Linked DNA regions of Oryctolagus cuniculus. Each later gene encodes a partner of the first gene's protein in a complex. Links are inferred from orthologs where the notes say so. Each region holds a gene or a part of one and is shown in the gene's direction. Other genes may lie near its edges.

Region 1 (9,754 bases):
TGACAGATGGAAAGATTGTATATAGTTTTGACCTTTGCTAGGGTTTGAATGTGTCCCTCAATGTTTATGGACACTTAATTTCCTTACTACTCATGGGTTTAGCTCCTTTAAAATCTATTAAGAAACAATTATAATTAGTTATCTAGTCATCTTTAGGTCTTACTTTTTCAGGATCTATGCTGCATTACCCAAACACCTAGTGAATTTGCTATTTCTTGTCTACAGTGAGTGCTTTGTAAAATCTATGAAACAAAAGTATTCATTTCTTTAGAAAAAAAGATTATTCAAATATGATGTAATAGTGTTTTTTTCCATGACTGAGTGACCTGAGAATAATTTACCTAAGTTTCATGTGCATTAACAATCAAGAAAGCAGTGTTTGACTCCCCGTTTAGATTAGAATTTCTAATATGTTTTTCAAATTGCACCAAAGAGTTTTGTGAACAGTTTCAAGGAGTTTGTAGACCAGGTTGCACTCATTTTAGTTTTCTTTCTCTGAGACTGGTGTAAAAAATACAACAAAGAAATGAATATAAAAATAACGAATTAATAACTACTTAATCCTAAGCAGGAGAACAAATCATTACCTTTAAATTGAAGTAGATCATAGTAACACTGAAAAAGAAAATGTGGCCATCTAGTTATCATGTGTATCACTCATTCACTATTTTAGGGGCATCGGCCATACATTATCAAGCAATCATTAATTAAAATTTCAAATAATAGATTCATTTTTAAGCATACCTCTAATTCATGCATCACTTATAGAAGTTAATAAATGTTTTGAAGGTTGAGAAAATAGAAGTAACATCCTAACAAATAGTGTCCAAATCCAGAATATTCAAATTTTTCTACTTTAGAAGAATAAATGCCTTTCCAAAATGTTCCTTAGGTATGGATCACAGAGGTATTGACATTTGTCTAAACTCTTCAAATTACATGCTTAAGCCCTGTCCATTTAGCTTTATATGCATTATACTTCAATTATAAAAAACTCTTAACCATAAAGACCAAATAACTAAAATCACTTAATACAAGAGAAAAATACAAGAAATAGAAAGGTTCATGCTGAGTGCTATTGATTCATGCAGTCACTTCAAATCTTTTTTATGCTCTTACTTCAACCACTATTTGATCATTGGATCTAGTCCTAAGGGAAAGTGTGGAGAAGCAATTGAACCAACCCTTTCTGCATTTTTCACACACCTTGTCCCTCAGCATTCATGATTTAGAGTTCAAGGTAGGTTTCAAAGGGTGCATTCATATCAAGAGGATTACATGAAAGCATTGGGGGGTTTTGTGGCTAAAAGGGCTTTTCTTTGTTCTCTTACCAGGGGAGAAGGTTTGCTTTGGGCAAGCTCCCTATGGTAAACCTCTTTGAGGAACTCATTCTGAAGTGCATTCAATCCTGTCTTCAGGGCCATCTAGTTGCAGCATTTAAAGGGGATATTGGGACATTGCCTCTCACCACCTTGTAGTCTTTTGAGAGGTGATCTTAGCCAATCTGGAATTTCGGCAGATTTCCTAAAACTTCACTTTGCAAAAGTGTCTACAGAAAAGCAGCTTTTTGAAAGATGGCACATTTACCTAGGGAAAAAAAAAAAACCTTCATAAGCACAAAATTATTTCGAACCTCAAAGTTTTTGGAAAAATATTTTAACATATATGTGGGTACTTCATATATGTGGTACTTAATATATGTGACTACTTTAAAAAGTACATAGAAAACTGGGTATCATGAAAAAACTGTGCAAGGATTATAAAATATTTTGCACCAAAATAAACATCATTTTTAAAAGATTTATTTATTTATTTGAAAGTCAGAGTTACACAGAGAGAAGAGAGGCGGGGGGGGGGGGGTGTCTTCCATTCATTGGTTCACTGCTCAACCTGGCTGCAATGGCCAAAGTTGCGCCAATCCGAAGCCAGGAGCCAGGAGCTTCTTCCTGGTCTCCTACACGGGTTCAGGACTTGGTCCATCTTCTACTGCTTTCCCAGGCCATAGCAGAGAACTGGATTGAAAGTGGAGCAGCCGGGACTCAAACCAGCACCCATATTGGATGTTGGCACAGCAGATGGTGGCTTTACCTGCCACAGCAGAGTGCCAGCCCCTAAACTTATCATTTTTAAGATCTATTTACTTATTTATTCATTTGAAAGGCAGAATTACAGAGATATAGAGAAAATGAGAGATGGAGAGATATTCCATCTGCTGGTTCACTCCCCAGATGGCTGCAACAGCCAGGGCTGTGCCAGGCTGAAGCCAAGAGCCCAGAGCTTCTTCTGGTTCTCCCATGTGGGCAAAGGGGCACAAGCACTTGGGTCATCTGCTGCTGCTTTCCCAGGCACATTAGCAGGGAGCTGATTCAGAAAAGGAGCAGCCAAGACTCCAACTTGCACCCATATGGGATGCCAGCCCTGCATGCTGCAGATTAACCTGCTGTGCCACAGTGCCAGCCCTTAAACTTACCTTTAAATTTCATTTTTCCGTAAGCTTTTTGAAGTATCTTCATATACCAATAAAATTTACAAGGAACCTAACTACTGGCAAGTTTATGTGTAAAGTTTATCATTAAGGCATTTCAAGACACAGAGTAAAAACTTGTATTGGTAGCAGTATTTTTCAAGGCATGAGTTAAAAAAAAAAATAAAAGATCTGTCCAAAGATTTGTTCCCACTTTTCTGCACTTCTGCACCTCAAGCCACTCTAACAGGTCAAGTTTGTGAGACTGATTGATTTATTAGAGCCAACAGGCAACTTTAATTCTAACGATTTCTCTCATTTTCCAAAAGGGGAACCTGAGACGGAGATCAGTTCCTAGACTTGATAATGGCCATCCATGAAGATCAAATTGTAAATCTTTACATGTTACATGATCAGTTTTACATACATTTTGAGGTGAAACATTTAAATGATAAACTGCAATTAAATGCTACTAATGTTTAAAACATTGCTTTCTCAAGGTAAAAAAAAAAATCTATCTAGACTGCATGTGGTTTTGTTAAGTAAAAGTGCAGTCTGTGTAACCAGATAGACACAGATTCAAATCTTAGCTCCAGGGGCCGGGGGCCAGTATTGTGGGGCAGCAGGTTAAGCTGCAACTTGTGATGACGGCATCCTATATCAGAGTGCTGGTTCAGATTCCGGTGCCGATCACCTGATCCAGCTCTCTATTATGGGACTAGGGAGGCAGCAGAAGATGGCCCAAGTGCTTAGGCCCCGTACCTATGTGGGAAACCATGGTGGAGTTCCAGGTTTGGACCTGGCCCAGATCTGGCAATTGTAGCCATTTTGGGAGTCATTCAGCAGATGGAACACTGATCTCTCCCCTCTCCCCTCTCCCCTCTCCCCTCTCCCCTCTCCCCTCTCTCCTCTCCCTCTCTCCTCCCCCTTCCCCACCTTTCAAATTTTGGGAGTCAGTCAGCAGATGGAACACTTAAATAGGTAATAGAACCCTGTAATGGGTAGCCAGTAGCATATTTTTAAATTCTAAATGAAGAATGTTTTACTTAAAAGTATTTGGCTTTGTTGTTGATCCCTAGAATTACCAAAATAGAATTAAATAACTTAAAATATAATTATCAAATTATAATTACAAAAATTACAAATACAAAATTACAAATTACAAAATATTTTTGAGCCCAACTTGTGGAAGGTATTTCAATGGAACAAAAGGAACATATAATTCAGCCCCTATCCTGAAAAAAGAAATTGATTCACATGAAATCAATAGTGACCCATATAAGTCTCTACATGGTCAAGTGCTTACTTGTGGCTGAGAATCAAAAAGTGTTATCAGAAAGGGGAAGAGGGAAGCATCAGTGAAGATTATAACACCCAGAACTCGGGGGAGGGACTATGAATGGAGTTGGGGATGGAGTTGAGAGGGTGCTTGGGGAGAGAGAAAAGCTGCCCCACAGGAGGCATATACTTGAAGGGAAGAGGCTTAGGTAGGAAGGACAGGCTCCAACCTGCCTTTGGAGGAGCCAGCTGAGCAACAGTCATATTCCAAGTGCTCTCTTATCATTTCTCATCCACCCAACCTTTTGTTGCCTGGCTCAGCTTTGAAGCAATGGAATGTTGACAGGGAGAATAAGGGCTGTGATCAACACAGCCAGATTTGGAACTGGGAATCACAACCCTAGGCCTATTTCTAATCTTTTATCCTTACTCCTCCGCCATTTTCTTAATCATATTTCACATTGAAAGTTCATCTATTTAAACACAAAGCAATTGATTTTCTACTTCCATTTTCCCCAGAAAGCACTGTGTACCAGCCAGAACCCCAAGGTCCCACCCATGCCATTAACCAGCCATGAAGGAAAGAGCCAGGCACCTTGTCTCTGGGCAGCAGGTCCTTCTGGGAAGGAAACTGCACTGCTGGACTAGGGATTCACCGGCTGGAAGACAGAAGAGGAATAGCAAGTGCATCTCACAGCCCAAGTTTCTGAATGCTCTTTAACACGCTCTTTAGGCAAAACTGCCAGCCACGAAGAATGCGTTTGATTGTTCTGCCTGATAATATACTGTTCAATTTACAAGGCGGCTTTCTGGTTTTCTTCCTGTCTCCTACAGGTGTCGGGTCCTGATGGGCACTGTATAAAAATCCCAGAGTTGACCTGGCAGTAGCACTCAGGACGCCGCAGGAAGAGAGGACAATAGCTGTGCTACAGTTAATGAAGGAGGACTTCTCAGTCCTTTAGGGGCCAGGGAGATGGCCTGAGAAAAAAGCTCTTCTTTCATGTTGAAACTTAGAGCGCAACAAAAACGGAGCCAAGAGCAGCACCCCCCCCCCAACCATCCAGTTCCTAAATATCACAGCGGCAGGCACCTTTATCTGCAACAAAAGTCAGAGTAGGCATTGACTGTCCCGATTAATACAAGAGCCCGGTTCTAGTCCAGAGCCTCAGAGTGCCGTGAGGCGCGTGACGACCCATTCTGGATTTGGGCTTCTCTTTGACAAATAAACAGCCTCTGGGGAAGCGCCCCGGCCACAGACGGCCCCTCTGCCGCTGATGCTGTCCAGGCATCGCCCAGGGGAAAGGTTGTGGCGCGATCGGAAGGCGCGGGAGGAGTCAGGCGGTGATTGATGGGGAAGCGACGAATGAATAAAAGTACTTGTCTGGGGACAGCAGAGACCCCGAGCAAGCCCCGGACGTTTCGCTGTCTGGCATTCTCTCCGCCTTCCTTCAGAGCCAGACCCGCCTGCAGCTGGAGGGAGGCGTGCTCTGCTCCCTGCGCATTTAGGCTTGGAACCCAACTGCGAGCCAAGCGTGCCTCCGTTGCAGCTCCGGGAAGGAGGTCCTCTCTTGTCGCTCTGCGCCTGCTGCCTCCGTTCCGCGAGGTAAATATTCTGGCTTGGTGTTGCATTAAAACCAGCGCTCGGATCTTGTCCCGGGGCCTCGACTTGACTTAGTAGTTTGGGATTTTATCGATAGAACAAATTAAAATGAGCGTGCGGGTACAGGATAGCCTGCAGCCCCTAGAAGGGGGACAGAAGTTTTCAATTTAATCCAGTATCCTCCCCCGCCATGGGACCCAGATGACAAGTCTCAGGTTCCCCGATTCCTACCGCGCAGTTCTGGGTGCGCTCGCGGAGCTGGAGCGCAGCCAGCCGGCGAGTAGCGGCTTTCACCCCGGGAGGACCCTAGGAGTTCAGAGCCTGGATACCGGGGTTCCCCTATAGGGCAAATTACAGAGTAGCACACGACCTTGGCCACTAGGTGCTTTGATTCCTCAGCCCTCGTGCGCTCCCTAGCCAGATGCGCCAAACTTCCCCACTGGCGCGCCAACTTGGTTTTTGCTTTTGCGCGCAGACGGTGGCTACGTAGTTGCTTCCTGCGCTCGCGTTTGCAGAGGCGTGGCTGGAGTGGCTGACCCAAGTGTTCTGTCTTGATTCCCCTGCCGGTCTCCAGGCTCTGAAAACTGCCGGGCTGCCACTTGACGCCCCGCTAAAGCAGGCAGCAGCATGCAGCCGCCGCCAAGCCTGTGCGGACTCGCCCTGCTGGCGCTGGTTCTTGCCTGCGGGATGGCCGAGGTCTGGGGAGAGGAGAGAGAAATGCCGTCTGCCCCCGCTACTCCACCGCTTCTGGGAGCCAGCGAGATCCTGACACCTTCCACTAAGACCTCTTGGCCAAGGGATTCCAACGCCAGCCTACCACGGTCGTCTGCACCTGCTGAAATACCCAAAGAAGGGAGGACAGCCGGAGCCCCGCGACGCACCCCTCCTCCGTGTCAGAGACCAACAGAGATTAAGGACACTTTCAAGTACATCAACACTGTGGTATCCTGCCTCGTGTTCGTGCTGGGCATCATCGGAAACTCTACACTGCTGCGAATCATCTACAAGAACAAGTGCATGCGAAATGGCCCCAATATCTTGATCGCCAGCCTGGCTCTAGGAGACCTGCTGCACATCATCATTGACATCCCCATCAATGTATACAAGGTAAAGGGCACCTGCTAGTAACCTTGCAGGCTTATGGGAGGGGGGATAGCACCTTTAGAGGGAGCTAGCAAAAGCCAGAAATCATTGGTGCCAAATTCCCTTCGGAATTTGGTAATCCCAGGACAAGCCTCGTTCCCAGACAAGCAGCCTTAGTATCACTTGAGAAGTTGCTAGAAATGAGAGTTTTTCTGGCTCTACCGCTAGCCTTACGGAGGAGAAAATCTGGCTTAGAGCCCATCGATTTCTTATTGAACAAGCCCTCCAGGTGATTGCAATAAACTGTAAAGTCGGTGAACCACTAGCCCAGAGGATCTAGTGCCCAAGTCCAGCCCACTGGCTGTAGCTTGGCTAGTCAGGTGTGACCTATGGACTGGCAGCCTTGACAGCATTGGAGAGTTTGTTGTGAATGCAAGTCTACCCCAGACTTACTGAATCGGAATCTGCATCTTGTCCAGGTGATTGAAATGCACACCAACTTTGGCAAGTGCAGTCTTGGAGGACCCTTAAGCAGAAGATCTGGAGTGGGTTTTTAGGAATAAATTACCCTGGGGCCCTGGGGAGGCCCCGACTAGTGAGCAGGACAAACACATTTCACCTGCTGTAAATGAGTGTAGCTCTTCTGTACTGAACGACTACCGTGCACCAACCACAGATTAGATGTCGTATTTCTTTTGCTCTTTCCACACACCCATAAGTAGATATTATCCCCATTTAATCGATGACAAACAGGGCACTCAGTGTCTCACAATGAGTAAGAGGGAAAGCTAGGGATCAGGCCCAAATGTACCAGATTCCAAAGTGCAAAGTATGTGACTGCGTCCCGTTGATTATTTAAGGAAGAAATCAAGGAACACTGAAAATCTAATGATTGCAGTAGTTCACAGTATTGTGTGATTATCAGGGACATCCCAGGAAACAGCCACAAAGAGCCAAGCAGGACATAAGTACCCACACTTCTTGACTCCGGATTGCTTTGGAATTCCAAACACCCCCCAGGCCCATCTGGGCCTCAGTTTCCTCAATTCCACAATAAGGCTGTGAGTGCCTACCTACAGGGGTGGGAGGTTCCTGGTGCTTAAGAAAAACAGCTTAAGAGCTATAGACATATTTAAAATTCTGCCCCCTCAGCAGCAGCACTACAGAGTTGCACGTAAAAGCACAACCAAGATGCAAGGTAACGGGATGCACTTTGTGGATTTGCCCTGTCGTGAGTACAAGGTGGAGAACGGGCAGGCAAAGGTTTTAGGGGATGCTTTGATCTTTGTGCCGGGAGCAGTTACCGTGAGTTTACAGTATGCTGTGAGGCATATCTGTAAACTTCCCTTCATGAACCTCTGGAAATCCTAATCCCAATAGCCACATTTTGAGGGAATTCCAGACATTTCTGAGGTTTAGAGAGGAGATTCGGATTAGGATCTAGGCCCTAGAGGGACACACTCCCGGAAAAGGAGGGACACTCTGAAGAAACCCTGCAGTCATGAATGACAGTTGCTTCTGAGGAACTCTGAGGGTTTTCTTGGAGAAATGGGCTGATGCATGTGTCCCTTAAAGGCAGTTCCAACTCCACTGGAGCCAGAAGTGACCCACTTACTTCTTACTGAGTCTCACAGGCCAAGTCCTACCATTCTAATTTGACAGAGGAATTTCAAGGCAATTCATCAAAATGGAATTGAGAAACTATTGAATACAAGGTGGTGTGAAAAATTAAAAATAAGGAAAACAGTATCCCTTGCAAAAGGAAGATTGCAGTCTAGTTTTGCCAGGTTTGAAAATTTTGTGTAAGTCCTAAAGAGTTCCCAGGAAACCCCACTTGAGTATCCTAGTTACAAACCTTCTGAAAGCAGCCAGCGGCTGACAAGCTGTGAGGAAGATGGGGTTGAAGACACCTTCCTGGTGTGTCGCCTCCACATCAAGTGTCAATCAGCAGTTTCAGGACCACTTTGCTTTCTGCCTGGTCACATGAGTATGTTCAGTAAACCAGAAAATATCTGACTCCCAAAAGGGTCACACAGGTTTCCTTTCCTTTCAAATTCTTTTCTTCTTTAAGATGTTACTTCGTTTTCCCTGAAGCCATTCAGTCTATTTAAGCTATATGTTTACTTCTGAAATAAACAGATGAGTCATTACAAATCTAGTGACATAATCATCTGTATTGGCCATAAACAAATTCCATTACATAAAATTAGGACCCAGAGTTAAGTATGCCAATGATGAATCTTATGTTGTGAACTTTGGTTTTAATTGAGGCATAATATGATAATGCTACCTTCTATTATGCTCTAGGGGCTTGGTTTATTTCATTACATCACTGCAACAATCCTATGGAGGTATTGTTAACCCTATTTTACATCTAGTGAAACTATGCATCAGAGATGTAAAGAAACTTGTCCAACATCATACTGCTAGAAATTGATAAAACTTAGGCTTGAACCAAGGTCAACTGGCCCTAGAATCCTTGATGCTCTCAATCCCACTGCATTGAGTGCACTCAGAGACAGCATGGCCCTCCCTAAACTTGAGTGTTACAGGACCACATTTAAGTGCATTGCTGGCATTATGCGACACAGTACCACACAATAGGATGCTGGGTGAATGTTTTTCAGAAATTAATTTGGGTCATTTGAGGATGTCTATCTCTTGAAATCCACTGTAGACAATCTAGCATATAATGATAATAGTGGATGTCATTCTAAAGGCTTTATTTACCAAAATACCTAATACAGGGCTACTAAAAAGATATTTATCCTGCCAAATCACTGCAGCTCCAGAGTAAGTTTTTAAAAATACACTTCAGAGAAGTATTATAGTTCATAACAAGTAATTTTAAGAGAATCATGAATGCCATTTAACTGTATTCTAAAGTGAGAAACTTGAGTCTCTAAACTAATGATTTCTAGTTTTGTGAGCAATAGTCTCTGAGAATATAGTATGTACTATTTGTGAGGGTTCCTGGAGTCCTTCAACCCTTCTGTTGGCACACTACATGCCCAGGGGCACAGAAACAACAATATGAATCTATTACATGAATCTGGAGTTCAAAAGTACAAAGTTCAATAAAATTGACATCCCTCAGAATGCTGGAAGCCACAGTCCTTGATGTGGCTGTGGAATGGGGGGAGGGCACAGAAGTACTGCTGTGAGAAACTAACAAACTTGGGAGCCACGTCTGCCCTGCCTTGCCTCCCTCAAGGGGCTGAGTCCCTGGAAACATTCAGGTAGTCAGTGCACTTTCCAGGTCTCCTGTTGTACAGCCAGGGATTGAAATCCTTTGTCTAAGGCCATAGAGGTATCTATGGAACCTTAGT
Region 2 (9,661 bases), on another chromosome or scaffold:
GGGCTTTGTGCTTCTTTAAGCAGAGGAGCAAGTGGGCACCTGTGGAAGACACAAAACCCAAGGGCCAGACCTGCCTGGCCTCCTGGGAGAGACCCACTCCCCTCTTAAAGTCACTGCCACAACAGGAATCAAATTTCAAGAGTATCAGAAGGGGTGACTCTATTGGAACCACAGATAGACAGCCAGAAGGCTTGTTTTGAATGACTCCATGAAGTAGATTGGATGAGGCGACTCCACTCTACTCACTCTCAGCTGGTCTTATTTTTCTCTCCTGCCTGCATCAGAGTCCCTTTAGTTCCAGGTGTCATAAATGACATAGACTCAAAATTAAGAAGGGTGGTGGGCATTTGATCTAGGGGTTGGGACATGTGTGGGGATGTCCACCATTCCTTCCTGGACTGGGTCCTATATGCTCTGCTCTGGCTCCTGTCACCAGCTTCCTGCTAGTGTCTATCCTGGGAGGCAGCAGGTGAGTGTTTAAGCTCCTGCTACTCACAGGGAAGACCTGGATTGAGGTCTGACTCTTGGTTTTGCCCCAGCCAGTTGCTCTCTCTCTCGCTCTCTCTCTCTCTCTGTCTCTCTCTCTCTCTTAAATTTGGATAGGGGAAGGAAAGTCAGATAAAAGACCGAGGTCAGACAAGGAAGCAATAACCACGGGGGAAGGTCCTCTGGGAAAGTCTTTGGTTGTGAACCTTCTGTGTGCTTTGATTCTGGATGCAAGAAGATCTGTTTCTTCGAGGGGCATTCATAGGAGTTTTAATGTGGGATATTTGGAAGTTGTCTTGAAAGTAGAGATCAGAGAGGGAAAGTATATCAGGTTTATTAGTACAACAAGGCACAGCATGGTGCAGTGGATGTGACCATGCTGGTGTTGGTATAAGTGGCTAGAACATGTATGCACCTTTTTATTTTTAATAGTTTAGTGAATATATAATAATTAAATGTTTGGCATGTATTAAACCATGATTTCATGTACATTATCTAACCACACAAACCATTATTTCATGTGCCTTATCCCTTAGGATTGCAGTGATATAAAATTTCCTTAAAGTTATTCAAATAAAGGAATAAATTAAATAAAATGTACAGGTGCCACAAAAATGTGGCAACAGTTACAAAGTTACGAATGACTGAGCTTTGAGGAATGCTAGGTTAAAGAACTGGATATATTCTTTTAAACCAAACACTCCCTGTCTGATTTCATCCTATGGGTACGTGTCAAGGAAATAGGGTTGCATAGATTAGGTTTCTGAAACGCAGGCAATGCTTTTACTGTCACTGTCATTGTATTTCCTGCCCTGAATCAACCATTTCTTTGTGAACCCCAGGGAAAAGCTATGTTTGTTCAGCACTCTTGGAGGTGTGCAACGTGTCACAGGCATCACGACAGTACTGCACGATTTTTCACAAGAGCGTGACATACAGGAGGATGGAAGACAGTCACCAGCAGGGCTGGGACCAGGCCTTACCCTTGCCTACAGCAACCAAGTGCCCCTTTCTGTGCTATTGCCCGGCAATCTAATGCCTACGGTCCTCACTGAGCTAAATGCAACATCTCTTACCAAATCCCTCAGCTTGGCAAAGCTGCAAGTTTTCTTACGCACAAGTTGAGAGAGAGCAAAGGAAAGAGTGCTAAAGGCAGTACACTCTGCTACTGTGTAGCATCTGTATTTGGGACTCAGGCTGCTTTATTTATAGATATCTATTAATACATAGAGATACAGGAAGAAATACATAAAAAGCAGCTTTATCAACCCGTTTCCAGCATGCAAGTGTAACATAAAAGCAAAAGAGTTACAGAGAACCGTTCTGCTGCAGGAAAGACACCATCTCCACTCCTTCCAGTCCCGCTTCCCCTGGGGGTGACCTCTCTGCCGCTTTGAGGGCTGGGGCTGGGGGCTGTGCAGGCACCTCCTTGGCCATCAAACCAGAGCACCTGGTCCTCTGTCCGGCTCATTTCACCTCCCCTTCTCCTACCTCCGTCTCCAGCAAGGCCTGAAGCTCAGGGAAGAGTGGGATCCCCCAACTGGTAAAACGGGTTTGCTGGGGTTCTACCCCCTGTCCCTTGATTCTTGGGGAACTTGCTGGCTGGGAGGCCGGAGCCGCCTTCCCTGGGCTTGCGCGGGGTTTCTTCTTCCTCTCCGAGGAGGAGAAGGAGGCTGAAACCCGAGAGCAAGACTGACGCCCCTCTCCCCAACGCGCGCGCCCAGAGAGACATGAAATCCACGCACGCAGGAGCACTCGCGCCCGCGTCTAGGGCGCTCGGGGGTTCAAGCGAGGCGGGCGACGTTCTCCTGGGAGCCAGGTGGCCCTCCCGAATCTGAGGTCCTGCCTAATTTCACCTAGCTGCGGGAGGCCCGGCTGGTGGCGGATCGCGGCCCGCATTTTGTGATTTCAAATCCAATAGAGTCAAGGGGATGACACGGACAGCCCGAGAGGGGAGCGCGCGGGCAGGTTTCCTCCCACTCTTCTCTACTTGGGCGCCGGTGCCGCCGCTGGCACCTGCAGGGGCGGCCTCGGCCAGGTGGGGGCGAGGCGGGCGCCCCAGCAGGAGGGCAGCCTAGGCAGGACCCGGGTCCCCGGGATCCTGGGGACGGCGGGTGGCCGTTTCCGGGGAGGAGCCCCCCGGCCAGGTGGGTCTTCAGGGTGGGCAGTGGAGGGAGGCCTGGGTCTCGTGCACATGACATCAGGTCCCCTCGTGTCTCCTTCCCCAGGTACTGCGTCCAGTCGAAGCCGGCAGTGGGCTGGGCTGAGGCCGAGCGCCCCAGGTCCGGGTCCCCGGGGATTGGGTGGCAGCACCAGAGCGCATTAGGAGCCTGAACCCGCTGCTGTGGCTTGGCGGCCTGCGTCTGACTCCAGGGAGGGCCTGGGTGCGGGGAGGAAACCTGGACTTTTAGGTGGTGAGGCGGTGGCCCCGGGGGACCCTCCTGGGTAGAGAGACCCCTGGAAACGGGCCCGCGCGGGCTGCCGCGCCAGGGAGAAAAGGAGTGGAACGAGATGAGGACACGGAGGAAGTGTGTCCCGCAGGGTCCCGGGTGCTGGGGAGGCGCTGGAGAAGAAGACTGCCTGGACCCACGCAGGTCTCCCTGGGGGCGCCCTCTGAGAAGCCTGGTGGCGCGCTGGCTTCTGTTGGGTGCCTCCGTTTTCTCACCTGGAAAATGGAGCCCCTTGAAAGGGGCGGCGTCCGACGTGGGCGCTTCGCCTTCTTCAGCAAGGCGTGCTGTTACCTGCGCGGCGGCTGCCCCGTGGGCACCGCCAGGGCTCTGTCAAGGTGAGACAGACAGGCAGCTGCTTTGAACATGTCAACAGGAGAGGCAGGATCCGATCCCGTCCCCGGCCCAACGCCACCTTCCCTGCGGATCACCGGACCCCTTGGGGTGGGGGCACCCTGGTGGTGGTCCCATGGGAAAGCCGAGGGGAAACCGAGAAGCAGGAACGAGGTCCTGGGCGAGGAAGCCGGGGAGTGGGAGTGGGGGGGTGGGGAGGGGGCTGGAGCGCGCGCTCCTTTCCCGCGCCCCCCCGCCCCCCCCGCGCTCCCTCGGTCCCCGTCGCCGGCCGCAGCCGCGGGTTTCACTTTTTTGTCCTAAAACACAACTGCAGCCCCTGTGGCTCTTGATCGCCCCCTGGCGTCCCTGTCGCCCCATTTTTCTAAGAGCGGTACTGTGGGTCCGGTCCGGGGCGCAGAAGAGAGAGTTTGGGGGGAGGGGTCTTCAAATAGGTGGACAATAAAACAAAAAAGGGGGCATGTGTCTGAGTAGCTCTGATGTTTTTATTACGCCCCTCCTTTGCCAGTCCCTCCCTGATCTTCCTCTCCGTCGCCGCGCAAGAACTTTAATCCCCAAAGGACTTGGGGGTAGGGGCTGGCAGGGAGAGAAATGCACCTTGCTCGGCCCAGATCGTTGGACCCCCGGGGCGGGGGAGGCGGGGAGGCAAGCAGGAGAGCGTCCCCTTGTTTGCCCGAGACATAAAAGGAAAATGAAGTGAACAACAATGAAGAAAAAAAATCCCCCTGCACACAACAATACAATCTATTTAAACCGTGGCTCATACTTTTCATACCAATGGTATGACTTCTGCTGTAGTCCCTCTTCTGATTCTTGGACTCCCGGGCTGGCAGCTCGCACAAGGGGAAGCAGACTGCAGCGCCGCACGGGCAGGTTTACCAAAGGTCTCTAATGGGTATTTTGTTTCTGTGAGCCCGCCCCTGAATTGTCAGACGGCGGGCGTCCGCCTCTGAAGTTGCAGCGATTTCCTCTCGGGCCCGGCCTTATCTCCGGCTGCACGTTGCCTGGCGGTGACTAATAACACAATAACATTGTCTGGGGCTGGAATAAAGTTGGAGCTGTTTACCCCCACGCTATAGGGGTTCAATATAAAAAGCCGGCCGAGAGCTGTCCAAGCCAGACGCGCCTCTGCAGCTGCGCCGAGGCGAGTGTCCCGGGTCCTCGCTGCGTCCCCGCGCTGCTCCGCCGCCGCCTTCCGCGCCGCGTGCGCCCCGCGCCCGCCGCCTGCGCTCCGAGCACCGGTGGCCTCTTCTCCCCGGGACCGGAGCCCGGGCCGAGGATCCGAGCCACGAGAAGCGCTGAGGCTGTTTTTCATCGTCTGCTTTTGGGTTCAGTTTGCCGGAGATTTTTTTTTAGACCTTTTTCAGAATGGATTACTTCTCCATGATGGTCTCTCTGCTGTTGGTGGCTTTCCATGGAGCTCCCGAGACAGGTAGGCACGCACGCGGACTTGCAACCCCCTGTGCAGGTTAATGTCTCTACTCCACTGAATGCATTTCTTGCTTCTGTTTTCTTTTTATTACTAACGCTTAGATAGCAAGTGCCTGACGAGCACTGCTCGGAGCTGCCCAAGTGTTCCAGGGAAAGTAAGAAAATTCCTCCACCGAGTATAGCGGAGCATGAAAATGACTTCTGATTTTTTAAGTTGTTCTTGCATAATGCATTGGCTTGGCTGTAAAATTAAATAATGCAGAGCGGGTATGGAGAAGCTAGGACGCAGTCGAGGGTGTATTTTGCCATATAGGTGTTCGTGCAGGTACTTAGAACAAACACGCGCTGTTTCAGCTGTGTGAAAGTGTGCAATATTTCAACATTCCAGCTTGCAGCCAAGAACTTTTATTCAAGTCATTCAAGCAATATGTGAGCAGTAAAATACTACTTGCCGAACAAAGTCTGTTGATTAAGCACTCCCTCCCCCCGCCTCCGCGGGGAGTTTCGGGGTGAAGCAGATTTTTTTTTTTTTATTATTTGTCATTATTGACTTTAGATTTCCTTTTGGCAGATTTTTGGCACTCCCAACAGTGTGAGCTCTATTTTCGGTTGTGTTCACCTGTCCTGGGTTGGGAGCAGGGATCATTCTTGGTTACTTAAGGATTTAGGCAGTACCGCGGTGCGTCTCCCCGCCGCCGCCCCCTTACCCCTAATTTTTTAGGGTCAGCGCACTTTTTTGGGGACTTTTCATAACCCTGACAAAAGAGAAAGGGTGTCAAGGGGATGAAAATCCAGGAATGTGTCTGATCATTTGAAATGTACCGAATCGGGCAGATAAGCGGCATGGCTGTTGGATGGTTGGTGGGATGCGCAGGGCTGCGCCCCCGAGGGGGAGGCGGTAGATCCCACACAAGCCTGGCGCCGCGGCTCCGTGGATTCTGAATTCCAGAGGCGCAGCGCTCTCTCCAGGTGCACCAGCTGCTTCTCGGAGGAGCTCGCTGGCTTCTGCAGTGAAGGGGATATTGTGTTCGCTTCCCTTCTTCTCCCTCTCCCCATCACTTCCCCAGGGCTCTTTGCCCCCTGCCTAATTTCCAGAGGTGTGGATACCGACCCCAGACCCTTACACAAGGTGTGAAGTGGCTCATCTGCAATGAGGGAGCGGCTCCTGTACCAGGAATAGAGCAGCGATGTACTGGTTTTCAGTCAGCGGCCAGTGCAGAAGCCCACCCAAGCCCCCAGCTGGCAGCATTGCCTTGACGGCTGCTGCAGACGGGCTGGCGAAGTCCCTTTTATAGGAGTTTGTCTCTTCTGCTTCCCTGTCATTCGTGGGAAGGTGGATAAGCCAGCAGTGGGTAGAGCGAGGTGGTGTCAAGGAAAGAAAAAAGTAAAGAGCCCCTTGGCTGCCCCTGCTGCTGCAGCAGGTGCTATGCCGCCCCCGCGCGTGCCTGCCCCGCCAGATCTGGACTGATGTGCGCCTTCTCTCCACAGCGGCCTCGGGCACGGAGCTCAGCACAGGAGCGGAAAACCCAGGGGAGAAGCCCCCGGCCAGCGCACCTTGGCGGCCGCGCCGCTCCAAGCGGTGCTCCTGCTCCTCGCTGATGGACAAGGAGTGCGTCTACTTCTGCCACCTGGACATCATCTGGGTCAACACCCCCGGGTGAGTCCCTAGGGGGCGTCGTGGCTCCAGTCATTCCTGAGCTCTGGCTCCGCGGAAGCTGAAGCGCGGGTCCCGGGTGTACCCTTTTCTCGGGGGAGCTCCCGGCTTGGCTTCTGAGAGTGGCCTTCTGTGTCCTGCAATTCGCAGGGTCTTCTGAGGCCTCTGTGGCTGAGACTGGTCCCTGGGAGACGGGGTGCAAGGTGCTGAGGCCAAGCAGGGAGCCGCTATGCGGAACTGCAGAGGAGAACCCTCCCAGAAGGGAGCTGTCTGAGCAGGCTGTCACAGGGCTTGGTGGAAGAGTCTCCGGATCCTAGCTGCCTTAGCCCAGCCTGTGCTTCTCACAGCTGGGCAGAGACACAGGCAGAAGGGCGCCTGGGGAGCAGAATCCAAACCCTTCATCTTACTTCTAGGAAAAGACCTTCGTGTCGGAGGCCACCTGTGCCGGCATGAGGCAGAGCTAGGACTGGATCCTGGGTCCTGTCCCCTTTCTATCCATAGAAAAGCTCATTTCCAGGCGAAGAGAGGCATGCAGCCCGTGGGTTCCTCTCCCCCCTGCAGAGTGAAGACCAGTTATAAGCAGGGACCCTTTCACTTGTCTATCCCGTCCATGTCCCATTATGGAAAAGAACAGCCAAAACCCAAATCCAATCCGATCCAACCACAAAGAGCCTAATACTTAGTGAGGTGAAACTGTCAAGGCGTTGGGGGTGGGGGCACTTTTTACTCCTCAGGGGACAATTCAAGGAGTCCCCTTAGAAAGTACCAGAGGGTCTCCTGCAGTCATGTGATGTGTGGAAACATACATTATATCATACCTGATTCACAGGACAGTAGGTTTTACAAATCTTATGAGTTATGGTTTTGCATTATGCTTTCTGCCATCTGTCCCCCCAATATACAAGGGACACCAAAGCAAAGATCCCATAATTTTAGACCAAAACCAGCTGCTGGTCTGGAGAAGTAACTGAACTTTGTTAAGAGTTGAAAAGGAGCCTCATTGAATCAGCAGCTGGGGTTTTCTCCCGGCTGGGTACACACACTCAGGGCATTGGAAGGGCGTGTGGCCACCCTTGAGTCTCCTAAGTTACTGCTCCCAAGTGCTGTAGCTCTGTGTGTGCCCAATGGAATGAACTCACCCCAAAGAATGTGGCTGTTTTAAAGACTATTGATGATGCTGACGTGTTTTGCTCTTTTCTCTCCATCACAGGCACATCGTCCCGTATGGACTTGGAAGCCCGTCCAGGTCCAAGCGATCCTTGAAGGATTTATTTCCTACCAGGGCAGCGTACCACAAGAACAGGTGCCAGTGCACGAGCCCACACGACAAGAAGTGCTGGAATTTTTGCCAAGCAGGAACGGAACTCAGGTGAGTAGGAGCAGCTTTGCTGTTCAATCAGGGTTAAGTCTCCCGACCTCTTTCCTAGGATAAGGACACCTCCTTGCTTGAGAGAGAGTAACTGATGTTGAGAGGCAGGATGAAACTGAAGATGTTTTTCCTGTGTGTTTTCACAGAGCCCAAGAGACTATGGAGAAAGGCAGGAACAACCTTAAGAAAGGCAAAGACTGCTCCAAGCTTGGAAAGAAGTGTATTCTTCAAAAGCTGATGCAAGGGAGAAAAATAAGAAGGTAAGAGACTCTGCACAAAATTTATTTTTGGGCACCGATGCTGGCATCCTTTCTGCCCTTGAACCATTTACCTAGCTGGGCAGAAAACCTCCAAGACAGCAAGAAAAGGGATCTTGGAATTCACGAGATGAAACAGAGTAGAGAATTCCCTCTCGAATATTTTCACAAAGCCTTGATTGCTGCTCCCTGTGCTTGGGGCACAGCCCCTTCAGTCAACATGTGGATTTTCCAAACAAAGCATGTCAGAGATGTGTCTGTCATTTGGTCACAGTCAGATGTTGCCTCTCGGAGTCCGTGCATTTACTTCTTTCCTTGACAAGTTAAAAATCATGTCAGGGAAAGGACATAAAAGAAAAAAACAGAAAAACTCAAAGTGTCTTGTATCATCAAGGTCTTCAAAAATCAGCAGTTATTCAAATGGCCAAAGGGAAAGTGAAGTCATTAGGCAGGGTTGGTGAGATTTAGAACATGCTGTCTTTTGGGTTTGCTTATTTATTTATTTTAAATTAGGGAAATGCATTTGGTGGCCAGCCCATGTCATTCCAGAGACTCTCTGGGTTTGTAGTCAGTCTCAGGTGGGGGTTGTTGATACCTGTGCTGCCTGTCTGTGTACAGGGTCCCACAGTGGTTGAGACTGGGATGGGGCTGCAGAGGAATTGAGAGCATCTATTTTAAAATCACACTTGGCGCTCAGTTCCCCTTGGCCATGACCTTAAGACCCTCACCTCCATTCAAAGCCTAGAGGGCGGGCTTTATTTTCACAATGGTAATAGATACCTCTTGAGGTTTTATCACTGCTAGCATGCTGTGGAGGTCAGTGGTAAACACAGGAATAGAGGAACAGATTCCTATTCTTGTGTCAGATGCTAATGTTAGATGCTTCTTTAGTCCAGGAGTGAGTTGTAGCTAACAGTTCTCTTCCCTTGTCTTGGGTGGACAGGTTGGAGGCCATCAGCAACAGCATCAAGACATCTTTTCATGCTGCCCAGCTGAGAGCCCAGCTCCACCGAGAGCAGAAAGTGACCCACAACCGGACACATTGATGACCGATCTCCTGGGCCTGTCGGAGCCGTGTGGCTGACTCTGCTCACTCTCTCACTCGCTCTTTCTCTTCCCTCACTGCCTGGGACCAGAGCTGGAGCTGTCTCCCTGTCAGACTGTATCTTCTTCCAGCCGGGTGGAGAACCAGCGTCCTTATTCTGAACGTCCCAGGAGAGACCAAGGAGTGCTCGCACCTGTCTTCCTTGGCTTCCTACGGCAGGAACTGCTCGGGTCTCCTCTGTGGCTCGGGGATGGTAGTAGACCTCTCAGAAGGCAGAGACACACAGTGCCTTTGGAGCTAGGGTGCCAGCCTCCAGCAGGATCAGGGTGGAGTTGCTGAAGAAGGTCCTGTGGAAGTGTTTGTGCCTGACTCAGGCACCCGGCACATTTCAGGGAGGCACTGCAGAGTCCACGCAACGATTTTGCTAAGGAATGCACAAATTGAAAACACACTCAAAGGACAAGCACTCAAGTTAAAAAGAAAGACTCTGTATTTTTTTTTTGATTCATAAAATGCAAAACTGAAACTGTTACTACTGCAAATCAGGATGTGTTTCATGAATGAGTCTACCTCACCTCTATTGCACTCATGACTGCCTCCCCAAACTCTCTCCCTCCTGAG

The links.
Region 2: the proteins of EDNRB (region 1) and EDN1 are in contact, whole or in part, in a cryo-EM structure (PDB 8XWP), measured with the Homo sapiens proteins. The link is inferred for Oryctolagus cuniculus from reciprocal best matches to the Homo sapiens genes EDNRB and EDN1. Residues at the interface, in NP_000106.1 of Homo sapiens: Pro88, Pro89, Ile94, Glu95, Ile157, Asn158, Lys161, Glu165, Asp166, Trp167, Val177, Pro178, Gln181, Lys182, Val185, Phe240, Ile243, Met245, Tyr247, Leu252, Ile254, Leu256, Leu257, His258, Pro259, Lys270, Lys273, Leu277, Trp336, Leu339; in NP_001403492.1 of Homo sapiens: Cys53, Ser54, Cys55, Ser56, Ser57, Leu58, Glu62, Cys63, Val64, Tyr65, Phe66, Cys67, His68, Leu69, Asp70, Ile71, Ile72, Trp73.

What each region holds. Positions count from the first base shown.
Region 1 is NC_091440.1:34,446,751-34,456,504, forward strand, and holds the start of EDNRB (endothelin receptor type B), read left to right. Parts: upstream 1-4,991; 5' UTR 4,992-5,345; intron 5,346-5,916; 5' UTR 5,917-5,969; coding exon 5,970-6,449; intron 6,450-9,754. UniProt on the Homo sapiens protein: Non-specific receptor for endothelin 1, 2, and 3. Mediates its action by association with G proteins that activate a phosphatidylinositol-calcium second messenger system.
Region 2 is NC_091436.1:158,320,382-158,330,042, reverse strand, and holds the start of EDN1 (endothelin-1 precursor), read left to right. Parts: upstream 1-4,599; 5' UTR 4,600-4,652; coding exon 4,653-4,716; intron 4,717-6,203; coding exon 6,204-6,372; intron 6,373-7,579; coding exon 7,580-7,738; intron 7,739-7,884; coding exon 7,885-7,998; intron 7,999-8,938; coding exon 8,939-9,041; 3' UTR 9,042-9,661. Other genes in the region: uncharacterized protein, read right to left, coding at 2,343-2,866, 3,152-3,263, 4,060-4,204, 4,289-4,599. UniProt on the Homo sapiens protein: Endothelins are endothelium-derived vasoconstrictor peptides. Probable ligand for G-protein coupled receptors EDNRA and EDNRB which activates PTK2B, BCAR1, BCAR3 and, GTPases RAP1 and RHOA cascade in glomerular mesangial cells.